Linked DNA regions of Diceros bicornis minor. Each later gene encodes a partner of the first gene's protein in a complex. Links are inferred from orthologs where the notes say so. Each region holds a gene or a part of one and is shown in the gene's direction. Other genes may lie near its edges.

Region 1 (7,115 bases):
CTGACTCCACGAACCCTGAGAGCCAGAGAGATGGGCATGAGACAGGTCAGAGCAGGGAGGGGCAACCTGCTGGGGGCCGGAGGAGGAGGTGGCGGCTCTGGACCTCATGCCAGCCCTGTGTAGTCCCTGGTCACCCCCAGCATAGCCCTTTCCTCTCCCATCACCTGGAGCCAGCTGGACACCACCTCCCCCTGCCTTCCCCAGGGCTCCCTCACTGTCCATGGGCTCCCTCCCTCATCATGACTGTGACTCTCCTTACCTCCTGGGGAGACATGCCAGGGGCAGACCTCTGCCCCTCTTCTAGCCACTGACTCAAGAGCAAGGATGGAACCACCCAAACTTCCCGAGTTCAAGTCCTAGCTCTGCCCCCTTACTAGCTGTGTGGCCTTGGACAAGTTACTTAACCTCTCTGTGGCTCAGTTTCCTCACTGTGAAGTGAAGATTATAATAGGACCTACCTCAGTTGTGATGTGGTATTTCAATAAACGTGCATAGAATAGAGTCTGGCTGATAGTAACGGCTATGTAAATGTCAACAATGATTTCCCCATATTATGGTATTACCGCTGAGCCATCTGCTCACCATGTCCTGACAGCACAGGGGCTGCCCTGGGAGAGGGGACCCTTGGGGCACAGCAGTGCATGATGGGAAAACCAGGGATGGAGGTGGCCACAGAAGGAGTTAGAATTCCAGGCTGGGAAAAGGTGGTGCTCGAGGGGCCACAGCCCAGTCACAACCTCCACCTCACTGCCTCCCAAACCCTGAGGGAGAAGGACCCTTGCTAGACCTAACGTGGCCTCCAGTCCAGCCACACACTGGTCTCACTTCTCGGGTGGTCATCTTAAGTCCTCTGGTACCACCTGGTGGTGAGAACTGGTATCGCACCCGTGAGCCTCTGGCCAAAGTGGGGCTCCCTGCGCCTGCAGGCGGGTTTGGAGGGGAAGTGGGGGCGCCGCACTTACCCACGGTGTCTGTTGACATAAAGGTCTTATGCAGCGGTGACTGGAGGCTGACAGTGCCTGGGACACAGAGCTTGAATGACCTGTCCTCTTCCTCTATTTCCTCTTCCTCCCCTTTCTCCTCAGATGGGAAGCCTTCCTTGAGAGGAAACTGAGGGCATGTGGGGTCACTGAGCAGGTGGAGAAGGTGGGGCCCCCAGCCTGCAGCCCCACCCCCACCACCAACCTCCAGACACAGCACAAAGCAGCAGGGAACAGCTCCCAAAGGTCAAGAAAGGGCACTGCGCCCCCTAGGCCCAGCCACATTTCCTGAGGCCCAGCCAGATGTGGGGAGAGCCCCACCCAGGCTTCCCCCCATTACCCCAGTCTGGCCCCACAGACCTTTGCCGACTTCTGAAGCTGCTTGTACAAGGTGAGGAGGCGGTTCCAGGGGGTCGCCCCCACCTTCAAAGAGGCCAGCCTGAGGTCTCCTGTGAAGGGCCAGTGTCACTGACAGGCTGATAGCACTGGGGGGTAGCCCAGGCCCAGAAGGGCAGGGACATTGGCGGTGCTGAGCTGAGGTGGGGTCTCCTTGTTTTCTTTAGCAAATGCCTACTATGTGCCAGGCACAGTTCTAGACACTTTACAAAGAACACCTCATGTAATCCTTGCAACTACCCTCTGAGATAGGCACTATTATACTCCCATCTCACAGATGAGGAAACTGAGACACAGAAAGGTTGAGCAACTTGCCACTGTCACACAGCTGGGCACAGTGGAGTTGGGATTCGAACCCAGGCAGTCTGCCTCCAGCATTCCCTCAGACCGTCCCGTGTCCTTCCAGGCTCCACATCCTGTGGAGTCCTAGAGGAAGAGGGTCCATTTCACGCCTGTGGCCGCCACGTGGACTCACCATCAAGCAGACGCTCCTTCTCCTCCCTGGGGAAGGCCTCGGGGCTGACCTCCAGTGGCCCCACGGCCCTCTGCAGGCATCCTTGCTCCACCTCCAGGGCTCTGGCAAAGTGGCTCCTGATCCCAAAGCAGAGTCAGGTGGGGCCCAGAGATGTGGCAAAGGCCCCTGGACATGCCAGCCCCTCCAAGGCTCTCACACAGGCTCTGCTCAGCCCCCTCCATCCTCCTGCTCCCAACAGCTCCCTGCTCTGCCCTCTGAGGTCTTCATCATAGATGGGGGCTATCCCTCCCCAAAGGTAGGGTGGTGGGGAGCAGAAGGAGAAGTGGGCCCCCTTCCTCACAGGGAGTGGGTGCCAGGTCCAAATGGGAGTGGGAACTGGGAGGGACAGAGTGGGAGGGAAGTTGGGGGGGGTGGCTGCGGCAGAAAAGAGATAGGAAGCAGTGGGAGCCCACCCGGCCTGGCATGCTCCCTTCCCAGTCCCCAGCCTGTCCCCCTTTCATCTTTGGTGCCTCCATCCCTGTCTCTGTCTCCTCCCCACACCCCCATCTCCAGGCTCCTCGCCACCCAGGTATCTGGTTCCAGTCTGCTGCCCCTCCAAGGACTCACATTCCTGGACCCTCTCCAATCTGGGTCCTCCCATCTCAGGCCCACATCCTTCCACCGGCTTACATCCAGTAGCTCCATCCCAGGCCCCTTCCCACCATCCACAGCCCAGCCCCTCACCTGTCTGAGGTCCCTGTGTCCCGGGAGGCCTCCCCTGCTGCCTCCTCCTCCTCCTCTTCCCTCCCCTCCTTCTCAGACAGGTCGTCCAGCACCTCCTGGCTTCCTCTGGGCAGGACTGACTTCACCTCCACACCCTGGGCCATGACCTTCAGGACCTCCCTGGGGGTGGGGGTCTGGGTCCCCGTGTCCCCCAGCCCCGAGGGACCGTGCCGTGGCATGGCCACAGAGAGGATGCAGGGCACTGTGGCGGGTGGCCTGGGCTCCTTCCTCCCCACTCCTCGGTGGTGGTCCGTCATCAGGGGGATGGCGTCGTGCTCTTGTGAGGGGCACGCCCGACCCCTTGACAGTGCCTTGTCAGAGCTTTTCGGGCTGCTCTTGCTCCCCCTCAGGCTACGGAAGAAGCGCAACACGGAGGAGCGGCCCAAAATCCGGGATCGAGGGGTTGTGGCTGGGGCCTCCATCCTGAGGGGGACCCTGACTGAGAGGGAGGGGCCGTAGCAGCCACTCCAGGACCAACTGCTTAAGAACAGGAGGAGCTTTCAAATTAAAACCTCCAGTTGGAAACTTCCAGGAGTTCTAGAAGGCAAAGGTCAGGCAGGTGGGGGGAGTGATGGGGGGCTGGGGGGAGGACATGATGGCGGGGGTTAGTTGGGGACAGAGAGGGCAGGGGGTCGATGAGGCAGGGGAAGGAGGTATGGGAGCCAGACTAGGGGGTGGCTGGTGAGGCTCCAGGAGGCATGGGGGTGGGGGCAGACAGAGGAGGCTGGGGGGACCAGGGCCCTGAGAATGGAGCAGAGGCTCTTAAGCACCCTGCACACACCTCTCTCCGCCTAGCTGTCCTTCTCCAGCTGTGGCTGCTTCTGTCCTGGAGAACACTCCCCATGGCCAGATAGTATTTGTCCTCCCCTTGCCCTCCTCTCAGCACCCAGCTTGCCCATGCCCAGGTGGTAGCACAGACCCCACTGTGTTTTCCTCTCTGTTTACCTGGCTATCACCTTCAGGATTGTGTATCTCCAGAGACCACCGAGGTGCCTGGTGCACATGTCTTAACTGCTCGTTGAATCTCAATTTGGTATTATTATTCCCCACGGCCATCTACAGACCTGATTATACACCCAGCTCAGGGACCTTGGGAGAGTATCTTAAACCAGCTGAGCCTCAATTTGTTCATCTGTAAAATGGGTGTAGTCGACAGCGCCTACTTCCAAGGGTTGTGAGAAGATTCAGTGAGACAACGGTTGCTTAAGCGCAGGGCACTCAGTAGTGCTTAAGAAACGTCACCGTCCTTTTTTATTGGTGTTGATTGATGGAAGGGAGGGAAAGATCAAGGACAGGGGCTGGGAGTCAGGGGCTGAAAACCAGCAGGGGAGGGGGAGCCACTCTGCCTGCCTGGGGCAGAGGGTAGGGGGCGGGAGTGGCTCCCTGGGCCGTGTGAGCCCAGACCGCCCCCCAGGCTTTAGGCTGGTGCATCCGTATCCGGCGGCCACAGAGCAACTTCCTCTAGAGGGAGCTGATTTGAGCCGGGAGCAGCCGGCACCTCTATGATCGCCGCAGCCTCGCGGGTCCCTAGGGCCGCGCCTGGAGAAGCAGAGGCTGCATCCAGACACCAGGAATTCACTGACGCCCGGTTCTGGAAGCCAGGCCTGAGCACCATACCCCTGGGAGCAGCCTCGGCCCCGCTGACCCGCCCCGGGCCTGGGCCAGGGTCCGGGCAGGTAAGCCGGGAGGATCTTGCCCATCCTCCCCGCTCTCAGCAGTCCCAGGCCCAGGGTGGGGCAGCGAGCCTGCAGGGAGTAGGGTGGGGAGGGGGAGGCCTCAATGCCTGGGCAGTTCCGCCAACCCCTGCTGGGGGCCTGATCCAGCTAGGGCTCCCTCTGGCTGCCCCTCAGACAGCTTCCCCTCTCGCCTCCGCCCTGGGTGCCAGAGAATCGGGTGCCAAAGACCCAGGTCCTTTAGCGGTCTGGGGGATGGGAGTGGAGGTCAGAGCCAAGGTCAAGGGCAGGGGGAGAACTTTCATGGTGCTTCCTGCTGCCCCAGGAGCCCCTGGGCAGCCTGGCCAGGCATCTCCCCCTGGGAACATCCTGGGCCCAGCAAGTGGGGTGCAGTGGACTCCCCTTACCAGGAACTCAGGCCACTTGGATGGGGAAGGGGTGAGCCCAGGTCGGCACAAGGCCTCTGGCCCTGGGGGGCCGTTCTGAGGCTCTACCTGCTCCCTGGCAGTGAGCCCCCGGGATGGTGGTGGAGGGAGCCGGGAGTGCCATCAGCATCCTTGGGCCCTGCTGTCCTGGGGCTGCCGGGTTTCAGGGACCAGGGGAGAGGGAAGGGAGAACTTGATCAGGAAGGAGCTGCCGGGATGGGGGTGTGCCAGGCAAAGGTCTGTGTTACTGAGGTCGAGCGCCCAGGGGTGGAGGGGGTTCTGCCTTCTCCCCGTCCTGCTCTGAGAGGGTGGAGGGGTGGAGAGCTGAGTGCACAGGTGGTCCTGCCCTCCCCCACCCCTTCTCTTGGGGCACTTTCGAAAATGGCCCCAGGCCTGAGAGGGAGGCCGGCGGGGGGTACACAGGCCCTCCCAGGGAGAAGGGGGCCGCTCAGGGCGGGGCTGTGCCCTCCCCAGGGGTGGGAGGAGGGGTGCTTCTCGCCTGGACGCTGATGGAGGCAGCTTTCGGGTGGAGGGGAAATGAAGGGGGTACAAACTGAAAGTGAAACAGCTCATGTCCAGGAAATACTCCCTCTGTCAAGGGTTCATAGAGCAGATCGGGGCTGCGGCCAGGGCTGGATGAAGAGGAAAATTGGGGCTGGGACCGGTGAGCAAGCGGGTGGTGGGGGGTACATATGTGAGGCAGGCTGGGGGCTGTGAAGAAGGCCCTGGCTCTTGAGGGCTTCCTCTGCTCACTGCAAGGCAGGCGTGGGAAGAGCAGAGGCCAGACGTAAACAGGGACAGCTGCCCTGGATAGGACACCCTCTGATGTCCACAAACTGGAAAATAAATCTGACGTGAGTGTGTTGAGTAGACGGACTCACGGAAATTCAGATAACGGTCCTGACTGCCTGACCAGCAAGGTGGCCTTGGGCACTAACCTCTGCGCCTCACTTTTCCCACCTGTAAAGCGGGTATGTGATGCTTACCTTGCTGGGTTAATGTGCATTTTCAGTGTCCGGCACCCCCTGGGGAGTGCTCACACGTGGTAGAAGTATACCATAGGCGCTCAGGAAATGTTTGCGGCTAACAGGCCTGAATTGGAAAACAGGTGTGCTCTGACCAGCCAAGGGGAAGTGGGACCTTCAAGGACGGGCTTCATGGGTCATTGGCTGGAAGGTGGCGAGCCCGCGGTAAGCGTGTGTTGGTGGCGTGCACGAGGCCCCAGGAGCAGCTGAAAGAGCCCCCAGCCTCTGAAACCAGCCTCACTCGCCCAGGAGTGAGATGAAGTGTGACGAGATCCACTAGGCACTGCTGGGGCCCCTCCTCCCGGAGGCCTGGCGGCCAGGGACAGATCCCTGGGTGTGACTCGCGGCAGCCTCGCCTCTCTCGCGCCGGTCTCCCGTTCTCCCTGGAAAGGTTGCCAGTGAAACCCTCTCTGAGTTCTGATTCCGCCAGCAGACTCCACAAGGACCTGAGGTGGTGAAATAGGAGTGGCTGGAGCTAGGGCTGTGGGGTCTTTTGGGAGCGGGGGGCCCCTCCCTCCTATGTGGCTGTGGGAACGTTTTGTCAGTGGCCCCTGCTTGTCCCCATCTCTGCTTTCTCTCACCCATCCCCACAGGCTAACCTATCCTCCACTGGGACCTGAAAAATGGCGTCCGGGCAAGGCCCAGGTCCCCCCAGGCAGGAGTGTGGAGAGCCTGCCCCATCCCCCACTTCGGGTAAGGGTCTTTCCGCCCCTCACTCATCCCATAATCACCAGGGCCGTCTGTGAGGGTGCAGAGAGCAGAAGTGGACAGGGTCAGCCAGGACTTATGGGCAGGCTCTCCTGCCTCAGTTTACTCACCTTGGATAAATGAGAACAGTCTCTCCCCACCCAAAGCAGGTGGCTCCTTGGCCTTAGAAGCTAGAGTTCGGTCAAGGTTAAGCCCTGGGAGTTGGGGAGGAGTCTGGGCCAGGGAGGGTACAGAGGCTGGGAGAGGCCAGGGAGCGCGCATGAGGTGGGCACAGCGCCATGCCAGGGCAGCGGGGCAGGATGGGGGAGGGGAGGAGAGAAGAGCAGGGCGTGGCTGGCCTATCCCTGCCTGAGGAGAAATAAGGAAGTAAGTTGGCTTATCACCGAATCAGGTCTGCTAAACGGGGAAAGGGATTGCTGGGGAGGAAGTAAGATGGCTGCCCTTCTTCCCTCTTCCCACGGGACCATCGGGAAGCCTGCAGCCCACAGCCCACTACAGGCTGTTCCCTGGGCTTTGGGCTCAGCTCCCAGGTCTGTCCCTATTTCCCTTTGTGACTTTTACAGCCCCACATTCCCTAAGCCATAAGGGCCGGGTCCCTTGTACATGCTCAAACAAACTCGGGGGCCCAGAGGCCTGGGATTATATCTTGGCTTCACTGCTTGTTCTAGCTG
Region 2 (7,317 bases), about 2.5 Mb from region 1:
ATTTCTTCTTGTAGGATCCTGTTCTTGTTTCATGGATACAATATTTTTCTGATGATACTTTGAATTATTTTTATGCTCCCTGCATTGTCTCTATTTCTTGTGGTTCCTTTTTCCCCCCTGATGCTTACATGTTGGAGATTTTTTATTTTTTCATGTTGAAGGTTTTACTCTGGTATCTAGTGATTTTTGTCCATTCATATTTTAAGAGTGAAGTCCTAAAAGCTGACTGGAGGCCTGAGTGCACATTTGAGTCTTGTCAATTGAAGGGATTCACTGTAGGCTTTTCCTATGGAGACGCCCAAATGTCAGTATTGGTGGCTCTTTTTTCTGGTATGGTTCATTTTTTCCTGAAAAGTACTCTATTTTCTGCTAGAGAGTACAACTTGGCTGCGAAGTTCTGTATGTGAGCAGGAGGAGAAGCTTGGGTGTCTCATTCTCAGTTTCAGACTTAATTCCTCTCTTTGCAGGACGATGTCTCACTCCCACTCTGATCTATGCCCGGTGTCCCCACATCTAGAACTTCTTTGGTTTACTTTCTCCAGAGGTGACATTTCCTGTTTCCTATAGCGGTAAAAGTAGTAGCCCAATTCTATCAGGTGCAGTGGGGACCTGGGGATCTGACCACTTATTAAACAGATTTTCAAACAAATCTCCCTCTTCAGCACTACACTCCTTCCATCTCCACTCTTGTAAGTTCTTTCTGCACTTGACTGGCTTCCATTTCCTGAGTCTTCCCAGAGTTCCTCAGGGTGACCTGCCTTGCTTCTCCTTGGTTTCTCCTTCTCTTGGGTCTGCTAAGTCCTTTGCCATCCTTCATCCATTTTCCATTTTCATGCATTGTGGTTTGGGATGACTACCAGTTCAATAAAAATGAAATTTGTGTTTGTGGGGTCTTTTTCCCCCCTCCTTGTTATTTTTGAGAGAAGTGGTGCAGAAAAGATCTCAGCTATCTTGAACTGGAAAGTCTTCAGTGTTTTTATTTTTAGTTCTTCCAATGCCTTGAGTTTTTTACTGCCTTTGGGCTTTTGCGTTTGGTGTTCCAGCTCTCTGAAACATGTTCTTTTCCCTTCCTCATCTTCCCTCCTGGCCAATTCCAAGTCATCTTTTAGGTCCCAGCTTAAACATCATTCCTAGATGAGTCCTTCCTGACCACCCAGCCTAGGTTAGGTCCACTCCCCATGGTATATTTTCATAACACATGCCACGACTCTAATTAGGTGTATATGCCTGTCTCTCCTGCTAGACTGTCACCCCCATGAGGGAAGGGATCATTTCTGACCTGTTGACCGCTATATCCCCGGTGTCTAGTACAATGTCTGGCATTCAGTTAGGGATTAATATATATTTTTCACTATTGATCAATATATATTGTTTGCTATAAAGACTCGTAGCTTAATTGACAGTTGCCACCATCAATAAGTAGTCACTTAGAGTTCAACAATCCTAGTTATTGTTATGGAAACACTATACTGTAAATATGGACTCTTGTCCATCTCCAAGTTTATTTTACAATGAACACTTTTAAAATTATAACGTACTGACAATAATATAATATGCACTCAGATCAACATAGGGTGTAAATTTTCTATTCCTGCTCTTAGAAATTACCACAGACTAAGTGGCCTAAAACAACACAAATTTATTATCTTATAGTGCTGGAGGTCAGAAGTCTAAAATGGGTTGGTGTTCCTTCTGGAGGCTCTAGGGGAGAATTGGTTTCCTTGCCTTTTTTAGCTCCTAGAGGCTTCCTTTGTTCCTTGACTCATAGACCGTTTCTCACATCACTCTGACCTCTGCTTCCATTGTTACACCTCCTTCTTTGACTCTGGCCCTCCTGCCTTCCTCTTATAAGAACACATATGATTAGGCTGGGCCCAGATAATCCAGGATAATCTCCACTTCTCAACAGCCTTAATTTAACCACACCTACAAAGTCCTTTTTGCCATGTAAGGTAAAATATTCATGGGTTCTGGGGATTAGGATGTGGACATCTTTGAGGGGCCATTATTCAGCCTACCAGATATAGACAGCAGTGTGAACCCATAGATGAATTAGTTGCTGCAAGAAATGATAAAAGCTTCACTCATATATATTTTAAACTTTATGTCGGAACAACCTTCAAGCAAAGTAGATAAAATAATTTTATTAAGTGAAAAATATCATAAATATATATTGAAATAATAGGACAAGATACCTAACATAAACCAATGATTATTAGATAGACAACATATATGAGTTCAATGGTTGCCTAGGCTTCCATGTGCAAATCCATTATATGCTTTTGTAAATCCTGGGGTTTCCTGGTATTTTCAGGTAGGCACACCATGTCTTAAAGGCAATTATCTAATTATACTAACTAATTATACTATATAAAAGAGCATAGTGTTTTTTTTACATACATTTAAAAATAAAATTTAGATGAAAAATATAATTAGCATTGATTATTTTTCAATAAATACCTCAACATCCTGCAGAATTGTTTGGGAAAAATTATATTATAATAAAAACCTATTTGGGGAAAATCAAGTCCAACATTCTTGATCGTTTAATTTAAAAGACCATGGTTAGATATTTTATTCTCTGTTATCTAGCAATGTCATGTGAATAACTAGTACAAAATGACAGTTTCACAATGGGCTGATGGGTAAAGCTGTCAGTTGGCTCTTTCAGATAAGAACCTCACCCCATAACTGCATCTTGACTATCAACTTTGCCCACTTAGTAATTTAATAATTTTATCCAGGGCTGATCTGGCTCTGATGCGTTAGCCGGAGAGCATGTCATTTTCTCACTGGAAAATTTATTTGAGAAACCAAATTTAAGGTCAGAAGGTTGCCTGACGAGTATAGTTAAAACGTCAGGCTGCCTAAGACATCAAGAATGCCCAGGCACTCACACCCCTTCATCCCACAACCCTCTCCCCTAATCTGGCCCAAATTACAATAATCAAAATATTGAAGTAGCATTCTACACAGGAAAATGTGGTACATTTGAAAAATGATGAGTCAGAATTCTGCTTGATGATTCCCCCCTCTTATTTTATGTAGCTGAGACAGCTGCGTATTGCCTTTCTCTCAGTCATTTCTTTTCAATTCTTGCTTCTTCCTCTGAAGGTGCAATACAGCTTTACTGTATTTACTGTCCAATGCAGTAGCCACTAGCCACGTGTAGCTACTGAGCACCTGAAATGTGGCTAGTCTGAATTGAGATGTATTCTAAGTGTAAAATACATGTCAGATTTTGAAGACTTATATTAATGAAAATATAAAATATTTCATTAATAATTTTTTATATTGATTGCCTATTGAAATAACATCATTTGGATTTATTTTGGGATATATTTGGTTACATAAAATATATCGTCAAAATTAGTTTTACCTGTTTCTTTTTACTTTTTTAATGCAGCTACTAGAAAACTTAAAATTACATATGTGGTTCATATGTTTTTATTGGATAGCACTGATCTAAGGCTCCTGAAGTCCTCCCCCGTTACCTTCTTTAGTCATTCTTATCCTTTCTTATCCACGGTCTGACCTCTCTTATCCATTTCTTCCCTTTCCAGTAACTGCTTAGATTTAGAAGGTAAAATAGAAAGTCAAACCCTGTGGCCAACCTTTAAGTAGAGAGAATTAAGTGCCCTGGTAGACAATGAAAGTCTTAGTTCAATTCTTCAATTTATTGGATTGGTACTACAATGTTAGGAAAAAACGGAAGGGGCTGGAGAATAGCCTTCATTAGTGTCTGTAGAGGTGGACTGTGTGTTTATGTATGTGGAGGATTAAAGAGAGAATACCAGAATCATTCTGGGTAGGAAACACACACACACACACACACACACACACACACACACACACACACACACACGCACATACCAGGGAGTAAGACAAAGAATGTATCCCATCTCCAAACCTCCTCACTTTGGATTTTTGATCTGTTTTTCTTTTGGTTACACTAATTTGTCTCTCCTTTTTCTGTGTGTACTAATTTAGACTGTTCCCTTGATGGAATGTGGCTATTGAAAAGATGAAGAAAAACTGCGGGGAGATGAGGATGTGGGTGGTGTAGCAGATCTAAAGACCAAGCAACACAGAAAGATGTTTATCTAAGTTGAAAAAGACCTTAGAGATCCCCCTGTTCCATCTTCCACCCAAATCTATAACCCTTTTATGTATGGAATAAAGGCTGCTTGTATTGTTAGAACACCAATTTTCACCTAACATACCAAATATATACTGAGAAATGGGGAAAATCCTCTGAAAATGTATTTTTCAACAGGGAAAAAACATGAAGAAAATATATGATGCCACTGTTTGTGAACCTAAAGAACTTCTGAATCCCTCTCCCAAAGTAACAAATTGTTGCAAATCACCCTGGGTGAAATACAGTTTTCAGAAGGCATACATGACCCAACTTGTCAGCTCCCAGCAAGTTTCAGCCATGTCAAGGAACGCCGGTAAGATATTATTTGTATTAAACTAAGATAAATCTTCTGCTTAGGGTACATTTTTCTTGATATTGAGGACATAAAATTGGGCATTAGATTATTTAAACATTAACTGTAAGAAGAGAGTGGTAAATCTATTCATCAAAGTTTTTAGGAGGTAAAAATGTAAAACCGACTTTGCTTCCTGGTATTAAATCTCTTAGTTTCTGTTAACGCCGAATCATTGATGTTACAACTAATTAGGATGATCTCAAATCTACTGAAATAGATCAAATTTATTTTTTAATAAAAATTTGTCTTTACACTTGACCTGACGGTGTCTGCATTGGTAAGGTGGGGAAAATTCAGTTTAGGTTCCTTCTTGATTTTGCCAGTATAGGAAAGAACATGAAGGAACGATAAACTTGAAATTTTGTTTTGCAAAAATGTATGATTCCTAAATGTCTTAGAATGTTGGAAAATTAAAGTCTTTTGTTTTGAAGAGCATTAAAAAATGTTGGGGTTAAATTTATGGAGTTTTAGACTTTTAGATTAAAAATATGCTAAACACCTGAAAGGAATTATTAAAACTAATCTCAAACTACTCTCCAACTTAAAAAGATTTACATGCCACTGAGAAAGTGGAAATTTCAAGCATCCTGAGCGTCTCTTGCCACCATATCAAATGTGGTATCCGTTTTCTAGAAAGAACTCAATTGACTAAAGTTTTGAATTTTCATCTGTGCAAGTGTCAACAGTTATGTCTCAAAGCCTGAGATTGTCACCTATGCGTACCTTCTAGAACATATATTTTTTTTTGAGATGTAATTCATACACCATAAAGTTCAACTTGTTAAAGTGCACAATTCAGTGGTTTTTAGTATATTCACAAAGGTGTGCAATCGTCACCAGTCTTCTAGAACTTATATTTTATTGTAAACCTTTTCCAACATGTTTTCTCACTCGCTATACCACTTGATCCTCAGATTGCTCCTAAAGCTGATGGGTACCTTCTGAGGTGCCCTGTGGGCGGTTGCCACATTTACCCAAAATGCTTTCGTAATTACAGTTTCACTTCAAAAGCAGAAGCAGGGTGAAGAATTAATAATGCTACTACCTTTGATTATAAATAATAAGTAACAGCCAACTACTTAATCTACACGTTTTTCATGCCTAGAACGCTCGCTTTACTGTGTATGTAAAATCTTCTTTGTGACTGGTATTTTAGTCGGGTGGGCCACCAGTGTGCGTTCAACGACTGTCAATCAGAAACAAGGGCCCCCCCCCCATTAGAGGTGGTAGCGGACACAAGCCTCCCTTTTCCTCCCCACGCTTTTCCTGGCCCAGGAGGCAGCAGCGCCTTTCTCCCTTTATACTTTAGGATATCGCTGAAGAAGTGGGGGATGTGCAGACTGAGGGGGCGGTGTGAGAGGGACGTGGAGTTAACTACTATAGACTCGAGAAGGCCAAAGCCAGGCTAATCAGGCGCCCGGCTGCGTACTCCGGGGACCGGGTCTCCCCGCCTCCCGCTCGGGTCAGTGGCTGGAAGCGAGCCAAGCGCGCCCCTGCCGGAGACCGCCCCCGGCCGCGCGCGCACCCCACGCGCTCCCCATTGGCCACAGGGGGCCACGTGACCTCGCCCGCCGAAACCGCCCCGCGGAGCGCGCGCTTTTCCCGCCGGTGAGCTGGCCTGGGCGGTGCGGCGGGTCGCGGGTCGCGGCGAGGTGTGGAAGGTTGCTTAGACGGCCCAGGGAAGCTCTTCCGCCGGGCACCTTAAAAAAAAAAAGGCCCTAAGTACATCCCAAAGTAAAACTCTTACTGAGGAAGCTGATTACTGAGAATGTCGCGTTACTCCCTCAGTGGGTTTTGTCCCAGGCTGCAACACAGACCTGAAAATGGAAATCACAAGCCATTATTGAGTGGAAAGTGACCCGCTGAAGCCAAAATTTATCTCTGTTGCTTGGGGGAAATCTACACGTATGAACATAACTCTTTGGGAAAAAAACCATAATTTTTGTATGGGGAACTTAAAGCCACTTTTTCTCAGAAAAGTTGAGGGGGTGGGTAAGAACTTGGGAAGTCCAGAGCAACCATCCTGATACGTCATTTAAGAGAAATTAGAAACTCTTGGGAAAACGAAAATGAGTAAAAACAACAAGAGGCCCTGCCCAGCTCTAAAAACGTAATAATTATTAATAAGAAAGGGCAGAATTAAAAACATATATATATGTATATATGTATGAGTATATGTAGTGTGAATGGGATTTATTAATTGTAGAAGTCAGTAGAGTCCAATTCTTCAGCTTCTTTCTCCCTTTGAGAGTGCATGGATGTTCATTTTTGCCTCTTTTTTATTTTTTTGCCTCCTAGGCTCAGCAACTCTTCTCCCTCCTCCTCTAGATGGACACATTTTCTTTTTTTATTCATTCAAAAAAATACTAGGGCCTACTATTTTCCAGGTACTGTGCTAAGTACTGGGGTGACAATGGTGAACAAAAACAGTAACAGTCCCTTCCTTCCTGGAGTGTACAGTCTGGTAGAGGAGGCAGATAGAGGTCAATTACATGTACCAATGTTAATAATAATGTGATAAGTGCTAAGAGGAGGTTCAGATGATGTAATGGGGCTTTGACCAGCAGGGAGTTTGGAGAATCCTTCCCTCAAGGTGTAACCCTGGACTGAGACCTGAAGGGGTTAAGGGAAATGAGGGTTGCAGCAGAGGGAGCAGGTTGTGCAAGGGGGAGCTGGTAGCCTGTCCCCTTCCAATGACTGCCCGTGTCACCCTTTTCCACTATACATACATTAATCTTGCCTCTTAGTTCTCAGAAGACACTTTTTTCTTTCAATTCCAAGTTCTTAGGGAATAACTCATAACCTATAATTATTGTTATAG
Region 3 (7,496 bases), about 2.4 Mb from region 1:
TTAGACAGGGAAGGCAGACAGCAAATAGATACTCAAATAATTATTCCCTTACGCCTGGGGCAGGGCGTTATGGGTGCACGTAGGTTTATAGTGTACAGGAGTGTCTTTCGGTGACATATGAGTGTCAGCCCGTTTGGGTTGCTATGACAAACTACCACAGACTGGGCTCTGCTCTCAAGTCCTGATCACCTCTCAAAGGCCCACCTCCTAATACCATCATCTTGGGGGCTCGGTTTCAACACATGAATTTTGGGGGGACACAGACATTCCGTCTATAGCAATGAGTGTCTGTCTGTGGCTGTTGACTGTGGGTCCACATGTGTGTGCCACACACACTCCTCCTTGGCGCAGCCAGCTGCTGGTTAAATATTGATTGTGTGAGCTACGGGCGTGGAGAAGGGAGTGGCAAGATCTCCCTATGAAACGGCGCCAGAGCAGTTATAGAGTAACGCGTCTGGGAATAAATGAGAGAATAGTATAGATGAGGTCGGTGTATACTTTAGAAAAGCAACCAAAAACGGCAGCACACTTGGGAAAAATTGGCAAATTTCCTGCTCCACAGTAACTCAAGGTCAGCTCTGGGTGCCTCCTCTGGGGCTTTGCTGTTGTTTTTAAACACGTTGCTGGTGTACGTCACATCTTACCAGAAGTCTTGTGATCTGCAGATCACCTGGGTATTTCTGAGCCGACTTGGACTTTGCTCTGAAATCCACTTTCTGCCAAGGCAATAAACAAGTTTACAAGAGCAGCGGGTTTCCACGCAGTCTCAGGGTGACTGGTCTGGAAGCGTGTCCCGGACAGCATTTGGACCCCCCGATAGTCAGGCGGAACATGCCCAGGCAAAGCAGGGGCACAAAACAAGAAAAAAGAGGAAGAAAGTCTTGCTTTGATGAATTCTGGATAGGCAAAATTTTGCAGTCAGCAAGTCTGGAAAGATTTAATTTCAGCACACAGAATTTAGTGTTTGTGTGGGGAGATAATATTAAAACACAATCTTCTCAGAGCTTGGAGACTAAAAGTCTGAGAACACATCTGCTACAGAGAGGATCTTCCAGCATATCACCCCGGGGGTGGGTGGGTTTGCCCTCCTTGGCCAGCCACACTCTCTCAACCCCCCCGGGCCTGGTGTTGCAAGACAGAATCTTTGGAACATTACAGAGGAGGAGCAGTCGGAGAGTAGGAGAAGAGCCAGGCTGAGCTGGGTCACAGCTGCCCAGAGAGGAGAGAGTTTCAAGAAGGAAGCGGGCATGGTATCAAAGGCCACAGGACCTTGAGGGAGGATGAGGAATGGGAAGAGGTCACTGGATTTGAAATTAGGAGGCCTTGGGAGATTACTGGGGAAACCTCCTGGATGGCTAAGGCCACACATCACTCATCCTGCCTCTCCCTGTTGCTGGGCCGCAGCAGCTGCTGCATGTGGCTCTTTAGTCTTCCTCACCTCCCTCTGGGCTCAGGGCACTGTAGTTCCAGGGAGGGGGTCACCAAATCAAGGCAGTTTTCTTGAAAAAACATCAAAAAGGAAAATATTGCCCGGTAGAATTGTATTGATGCTCTGATTAGAAGTAGCAATGTGTCCCTTGAACGCGGTAGGAGGCCACTGCGACCATGAGCAATGGCGAAAACCGTTTCCATAGCAATGACAGGTTTCTAAACGATTATTGCACCTCTTTTCCCATTAGCTGGGAAGGATGCTCCGGCCCTCTGTGCAATGGGCCCCCTAGAGCCAATTTAGCATGTGAAGAAAAGGGGCTGAGCTGAAAGAGGGTGTCCTGTCTGTTTGGCTGGTTTGGTGGTTTTGTTATTGAACAGCTTCTCTTCCAACCCCATCCAATTTGCCCTGGCCACAGGAACATATGGAAAAAGCGGAGAACTCTGACACCATTCAGTAAAGATTTCTAGTTCAGCTTACTTGGATCTTAAAATCAAATAGACCTTCCACCTAAATTTGTCTTCTCTTAAGACCATATGCTACTGGAGAGAGAGCAGATATGAGGGGAATAGGGCATTCTGTCATCACCACTTCCTCACAACCCCACTCCTGTCCATTTGAAGACCAGAACATTCTCTTTGAGGGCACACCCTATATCTTGTTTATTATTATATCCCTCGCACCGAGCATAATTCCTGGTACATAGTGGGTGCTTATTAGTGTTTGTAGAAAGAAATAAGTGAGAAGAAAGAAAAATATTTTCTTCTATGATTTCTTCTCTTTATCCCACCCCACACCGTATTTCAGAAGCACAACAGCAAGGCAGCCTCTGAAGCTTTCAAGAACATTAGTCAATTTCCACATAAGATATAGACGTGTATTGCTAGAAGTTTGCATATAACCCAGATGTTCCTTTCAAGGAACATTAAATAGCAAATAAAGCCTTCGGAATTGCCTGCCTCTTCCCTGGCCTGTTTTGTGATTTCCTCGAAGATTGTCCACTTGTGGATGCCCAGCTGTGCTGGTGGTAATCGATGGTCTCTGTCCTTCCTCCCCAGACCAGGGCTCAAAGGAGGGAAGGCATCCTGAATGTCACTGTCACCTTCAAACCTCTCTGTGATTCCGCGTGCCTTTTCTTCTCTCTCTTTGTGCATCTTCCTCACGTTCACAATGATCCCCCACATCTGAAATTGCAATTATAGATTCTTATTTTTGCCTCTAAGCTGGACATAGTAATAGACTACATTTGAAAGTAAATGAATCAGTTGGTAAATGCAGGAGATGTGATGTAAATACATAATACATACATAAATACATAATACACTCAATAACACTTAGTAAATGCCTGAGAAGGCTGTAATTACAAATTAGAATAGGCAATCCATGAATTTAAACTCCACAGGAATCTCTGGGAGCTCAGGTTTGGGATTCAAAACCATATTTGGTTTTTCCTTTAACTTCCACCAAAGGGCAAAGGGTTTCTGAACACTTTAGAAAAATTGGAAAGCCCTAGGAGTTTCAGATCACAGACACACAAATGAACTGCACACACCCCGGCCTGCTTCAAATGCCGCCCAGGAGGAGGTGGTTCTTTCGTCTTTTCCGTGGGCAGCTGCTTCATTCTAAATGGAGACTGGAAGGGACTCTCCAGCTGTAATGTGCGACTGATCCAAATACATTTATTGTATGTTAACTGCACTACAGAGACACCTTCTGTATTGGACAGTTGACTGTGTGTGTAATACATTTATTTATCTATTTAATAAGGAGTTACTCAGTGCCAGCAATGTGCCATGTATTGTTCTGGATACAAGACCTAGCAAAATAGAGAAAGGGGAGGGAGTGAGACTCAGACAATAAACAATTAAACTTCAGGTGGTAAGGGAGGACAGGGTGCTAATGGGGGTGCACAGTGGGGCCTCTATGGGAAGGTGACATTTGAGCAGAGCCCTGAAGCAAGTGAGGCAACAAACCATAAGGCTGTTTAGGGGAAGAATGTTCTAGAAGGAGGGAACAGCCAGTGTCAAGGCCCTGAGGCAGAGTCGGCCTGAGGGACAGTGAGCAGGGCTGTGTGAGCAGAGTAGAGAGAGTGAGTGAGAGGTGACTGGGGAGGTAATGGGGCCAGGTCGTGTGGGGTCTTGCCAGACACTGGAAGGACTTTGACTCTGAATGAAAACGAAGCCATGGAGGCAGGAGCGCCACATGCTCTAACTCATGTTGTAAAGCCCCCGGGGCTGCCGAGGGGAGAAGTTTCTGGAAGGAGGACACGGGTAGAGCAGGGAGACCAGTTAGGAGCTTCCTCAACAGTCCAGGTGAGCAGAGCTGGGGCCCAGACCCCGGTGGAGGAGGTGGGAGATGTGGCTGAGGTCTGGATCAGCTGCTGGATCAGATGCGGGGAGAGAGAGAAAGAGAGGAGTGGGGGATGACTTCACGTTTTTGGCCTGAGCAATTGGGAGAAGAGAGTTGCTGTTTTCGGAGCTGTCTTGTGAAATATTCTTAGCAGCCTGTGAGACAGAGAGGCAGGTCTCGGGCATGTTTCAGACGGGCATGTGGGCCAGAAAAGGGGCACGAGCCGCCTGAGGCCTGAGGGGCAGGACTTGGCCTCTTGTTCCAGCCGCGTTCGCTTCCTGTTGCTGCTGTAACAAATACCACAAACTCAGTGGCTTTGGAACAACATGAATTCATTATCTTACAGTTCTGGAGGTCAGAAGTCCAAAATCAGTCTCAAAGGACTAAAATCAAGGTGTTGGCAGGGCTGTGCTCCTTCTGGAGGCTCGGGGGAGCTACGGACTGGCTGTGAGATCTGGGGTACCACCTCCTGTGGTAGTGTAGTCCAGTTTCCTCCTCTGGAAAATGGGGACAAGGATGCCCCACCCTCCCGGGTTGCTGAGGAATTGAAACGAGACAACAGGGTGGAGAGTGGATTTTACTGCCGGTTGTGGGCAGGGTGGCTGGGTGCGCCGGCCAGCGTTGGCAGCCCCCCTCGGGGGCTCTGCTCGGCCTCTCCTAAGGGAGCTGTTTGTTTTGCTTGTAGTGCAATGGAGCGCCCACGGGGCCCGAGGAGGCCTCAGTCAGGGAGGAGAGCCAGGTCTCTGGACAGGTCACAGAACCCCAGGAAGGACTCTGAGTCGTGGGACTGCCAGTGCCTTTCGCTGTCCACCACCCCCTCCAGGAGGGCACTTCGCCGGGCGGTCAGCGACGGGCCCGGACGTCCGGAGAGCCCAGCTCAGGCTGCGGAGACTCAGGGCACCACGGCCGCAGCCCTCGGCCGGGAGGAGACCAAAGAGTTTCTCCCCACTGAGCAGAGGCCACTGCAGGACGCCAAGAAAGACAAGGCCCAGAGAGGGGCCCAGCAGGGGTGGCTGAAGACCCTGCTGAACTTCTTCCTGAGGACAGGCCCCGAGGAACCCAAAGAAAAGGCCAGCAGGAGGGCAAAGGGGAAGGAGGGCCTCTCGCAGCCTGCAGAAGCCCCTGAAGCACCGGGGGAGCCAGCTTCCAGGAAGAAAGCCCACGACAAGAAGGCCAGCCGCAAGAAACATGGCCACAAGCAACGTGGTGAGGAAACCAAGGGGGCCCAAGACCGGGAGGTGGCAGGCCAAGAGGCAGGGCTGCCCGGGACGGCTGCTGCCTCGCGCTCCGAGGAGGCTGACCTGGGCCCAGCTCGCAGGGGTGAGCAGACCATGCCCGTTTCTATGGTAACCCCACTGCCCCACCCCAAGGGCTAGGGTGCTCTAAGCCAGCTCCTCAAACCTCTCAAGTGCGGGGACTGGGAAGCTGGGGCAGCTATCAGGGACAACACCACTGGGAAATTTCTCTGACGCAGAATGGCACTGTGGCTGAGAGCTTGAGGTCAAACCCCAGTTCCGTCATGCACTAGCTGTGTGACCTGGGGCTGGCGACTCCCCTCTCTGAGCCTCAGTTTGTTTTCATCCATCACATGGAGATAATAACGGTTGCTGTCTCATGGGGTGGCCCGGCCCAGAGCAGGCACATGGAAAGTGCTCCATAAACGATAGCTGTTATTGTTAAGTACTCCAGCTCCGGGATGATGGACCAGGGAGAAATGAGAAGGCAGGGAGGGAGGAGAGGAGGGAAGCCCTACCTACCCCCCAACTAGTCCATATGTGAGGACTAGGGGTGGATGTGGGGAAGTAGAAAGAGCCAGCTGCTGGGGTGTTGGTTCTAGACTTTGGTTCTAGACTTGCCTCCATTAGGAATAAACCTGCTGTGTGACCTAGAGCAAGTTGCTTCCCCTCTCTGGAACCTTTGATTCCTTATTTGTAAAATGAGGGAGCTGGCCCCAAGGTGCTTTCCTGTTCTGACTCTAGGATCCTGGAGTTGGGTGCCCTATAGACACCTAGAGAAGGATGGAGATTTGCCCCATAGTGCTCAAAACTCACTGTGTTTTTAATGGGAGAAGAGACCTCAGGAAGATCCGGGATATTTTGTGGGTTGGGGGAAGGATGTCTGGGTTGAGGCAGCCTCTTCGAATTGAAATCTCGGTGGGTCTCTGATGTTCTGGTGGAGGCTAGAGCTGGCTGCTGCAGCGTCTGTCCTGCTGTGACTTCTCTGCCGTTTTATCGTGTTGATTAACAAGGTCAGGAGAACAGCACTGACGCACACCCACACCAACACACATTTGCCTTCCTCTTTATTCCAGGCGGGGGCGATTCTGCTCTCCACCAGGCCTTGCCCATCGAAGGCGAGGGTGCTGGACTCTCAGAGGTGTTTGCCCACGTCACAGGTCACCAGCGGGAAGAGGAGCTCACAGAGCTTGACCGTGAGTCGGAATCCACTTAGTGTCCTCTGCCTGCAGCTGGGGTGGCCGTCACCAATGAGATGGATTGCTCTGGACGGCTGCTTAGCCCTGGCACGGTCGCTCTCAAAATGCAGATGCCTTGTGTGTTAATGCGAATGGGACTTTTTAAAAGTCTTTTTAAATTTATAGAAAGAATATAGAATAGAGGAATATAGAATTTATATTTATATTTTTAAATATATAGGAGAGTGCAAAGAATAGTTCAAGGCATACTCATATACTCACAATTATTCACAGTTGGCCATATTTGCTTTGTGTGTGTGTGTGTGTGTGTGTGTGTGTATAATTTTGTTCCTGAACCATTTTCAAGTAAAAGGATGCTTCATCCCTAAATAAGCATGCATCTCCAAGAAATAAAGACAGTCATACACAACCACAACACTGTTATTGCTCCTAATAAAATTGGTAATGCTCTATTAATCTAATTCCCTATAACGAATGGGCATATTATAAAAGATATGCAAGGGAGGAGCTATGTGTTTGTCAAAGAATAGCTAAAAGGCATTTAGTTGGTTATTTTGCAGGGTGTTTATTTTATGCGCTAATTGTTTTCTCACCTGAGAGGGAATCAGCTGGTAGACTGAGTCAAGGAACAAAAGCCAAACAGGATTTAAAAATGAGAGAGAAGTGAAGGAGGGGAGTGAGGGGCAAAAAAACCTGCAGACAGCCTGGAAACAGGGAAGCTTGTTTGCCCCTAAACTGCTCAGCTGGCAACTGGCAGAGGCCACTCTAGGCACATTGTCTTTGGATGGGTTGACTGGAGTGTCAAAGAAAACCATTTCTGTTGTTGGTGGCTTCCCTGTAAAGACTCCGCTGTGTGGTGGAGGCGTCATCGTGGCAGGCTGTCTGCGTCACGCCTGTTGGAGTCCGTCTGTCCTCCACTTTAGTTAGGCCAGGTCTCCACCATTTCCCCCACGGGAATTTTGCAGGTTAGAAGATAAGCATCACCGTTACAAAGTATTTCCAAGCACAGTCCCTCATTTGACGGCCTGACAGCTTCTGAGGGGAGCAGGACAGGGATTTCACAAGGGAAGAGAAGAAGGCCCAGAGAGGCTAAGAACTTACCCAAGATCACACAACTTGCCGAGCCCAAAGCAAATATTTACAGATCTACAAAGTTCAGAGGAAATAGTGGGGCCCAAGTTGAATGCTTGAAGGGCTGACCTGAAATTTCCTATAAAAATTTCCTGCTTTGGGTTCGTACCCTTCTCTGTGGATCTTCCAACTCTCTCTCAAAAGGAGCAGCCC

Evidence for each region.
Region 2: the proteins of BAK1 (region 1) and PXT1 are in contact, whole or in part, in a crystal structure (PDB 8GSV), measured with the Homo sapiens proteins. The link is inferred for Diceros bicornis minor from reciprocal best matches to the Homo sapiens genes BAK1 and PXT1. Residues at the interface, in NP_001179.1 of Homo sapiens: Ile81, Gly82, Asp84, Ile85, Asn86, Arg88, Tyr89, Glu92, Phe93, Met96, Leu97, His99, Leu100, Tyr110, Lys113, Ile114, Ser117, Leu118, Glu120, Ser121, Asn124, Trp125, Gly126, Arg127, Val129, Ala130, Phe134, Asn182; in NP_694535.2 of Homo sapiens: Ile78, Ile79, His80, Lys81, Leu82, Ala83, Met84, Gln85, Leu86, Arg87, His88, Ile89, Gly90, Asp91, Asn92, Ile93, Asp94, Arg96, Met97.
Region 3: the proteins of BAK1 (region 1) and BNIP5 are in contact, whole or in part, in a crystal structure (PDB 8IGC), measured with the Homo sapiens proteins. The link is inferred for Diceros bicornis minor from reciprocal best matches to the Homo sapiens genes BAK1 and BNIP5. Residues at the interface, in NP_001179.1 of Homo sapiens: Leu78, Ile81, Gly82, Ile85, Tyr89, Glu92, Phe93, Met96, His99, Leu100, Tyr110, Lys113, Ile114, Ser117, Leu118, Ser121, Asn124, Trp125, Gly126, Arg127, Val129, Ala130, Phe134, Ala180, Leu183; in NP_001010903.3 of Homo sapiens: Ile246, Ile247, Gln248, Met249, Ile250, Val251, Leu253, Leu254, Lys255, Arg256, Val257, Gly258, Asp259, Gln260, Trp261, Glu262, Glu264, Gln265, Ser266.

Annotation. Positions count from the first base shown.
Region 1 is NC_080753.1:30,951,051-30,958,165, forward strand, and holds the start of BAK1 (bcl-2 homologous antagonist/killer), read left to right. Parts: upstream 1-4,069; 5' UTR 4,070-4,289; intron 4,290-4,355; exon of another isoform or gene 4,356-5,375; intron 5,376-5,408; exon of another isoform or gene 5,409-6,187; intron 6,188-6,329; 5' UTR 6,330-6,359; coding exon 6,360-6,429; intron 6,430-7,115. Other genes in the region: gametogenetin-binding protein 1-like, read right to left, coding at 1-15, 963-1,110, 1,341-1,429, 1,852-1,967, 2,575-3,035. UniProt on the Homo sapiens protein: Plays a role in the mitochondrial apoptotic process. Upon arrival of cell death signals, promotes mitochondrial outer membrane (MOM) permeabilization by oligomerizing to form pores within the MOM.
Region 2 is NC_080753.1:28,455,021-28,462,337, forward strand, and holds the start of PXT1 (peroxisomal testis-specific protein 1), read left to right. Parts: upstream 1-4,285; coding exon 4,286-4,454; intron 4,455-7,317.
Region 3 is NC_080753.1:28,533,078-28,540,573, forward strand, and holds the start of BNIP5 (protein BNIP5), read left to right. Parts: upstream 1-4,467; coding exon 4,468-4,984; intron 4,985-6,089; coding exon 6,090-6,209; intron 6,210-7,496.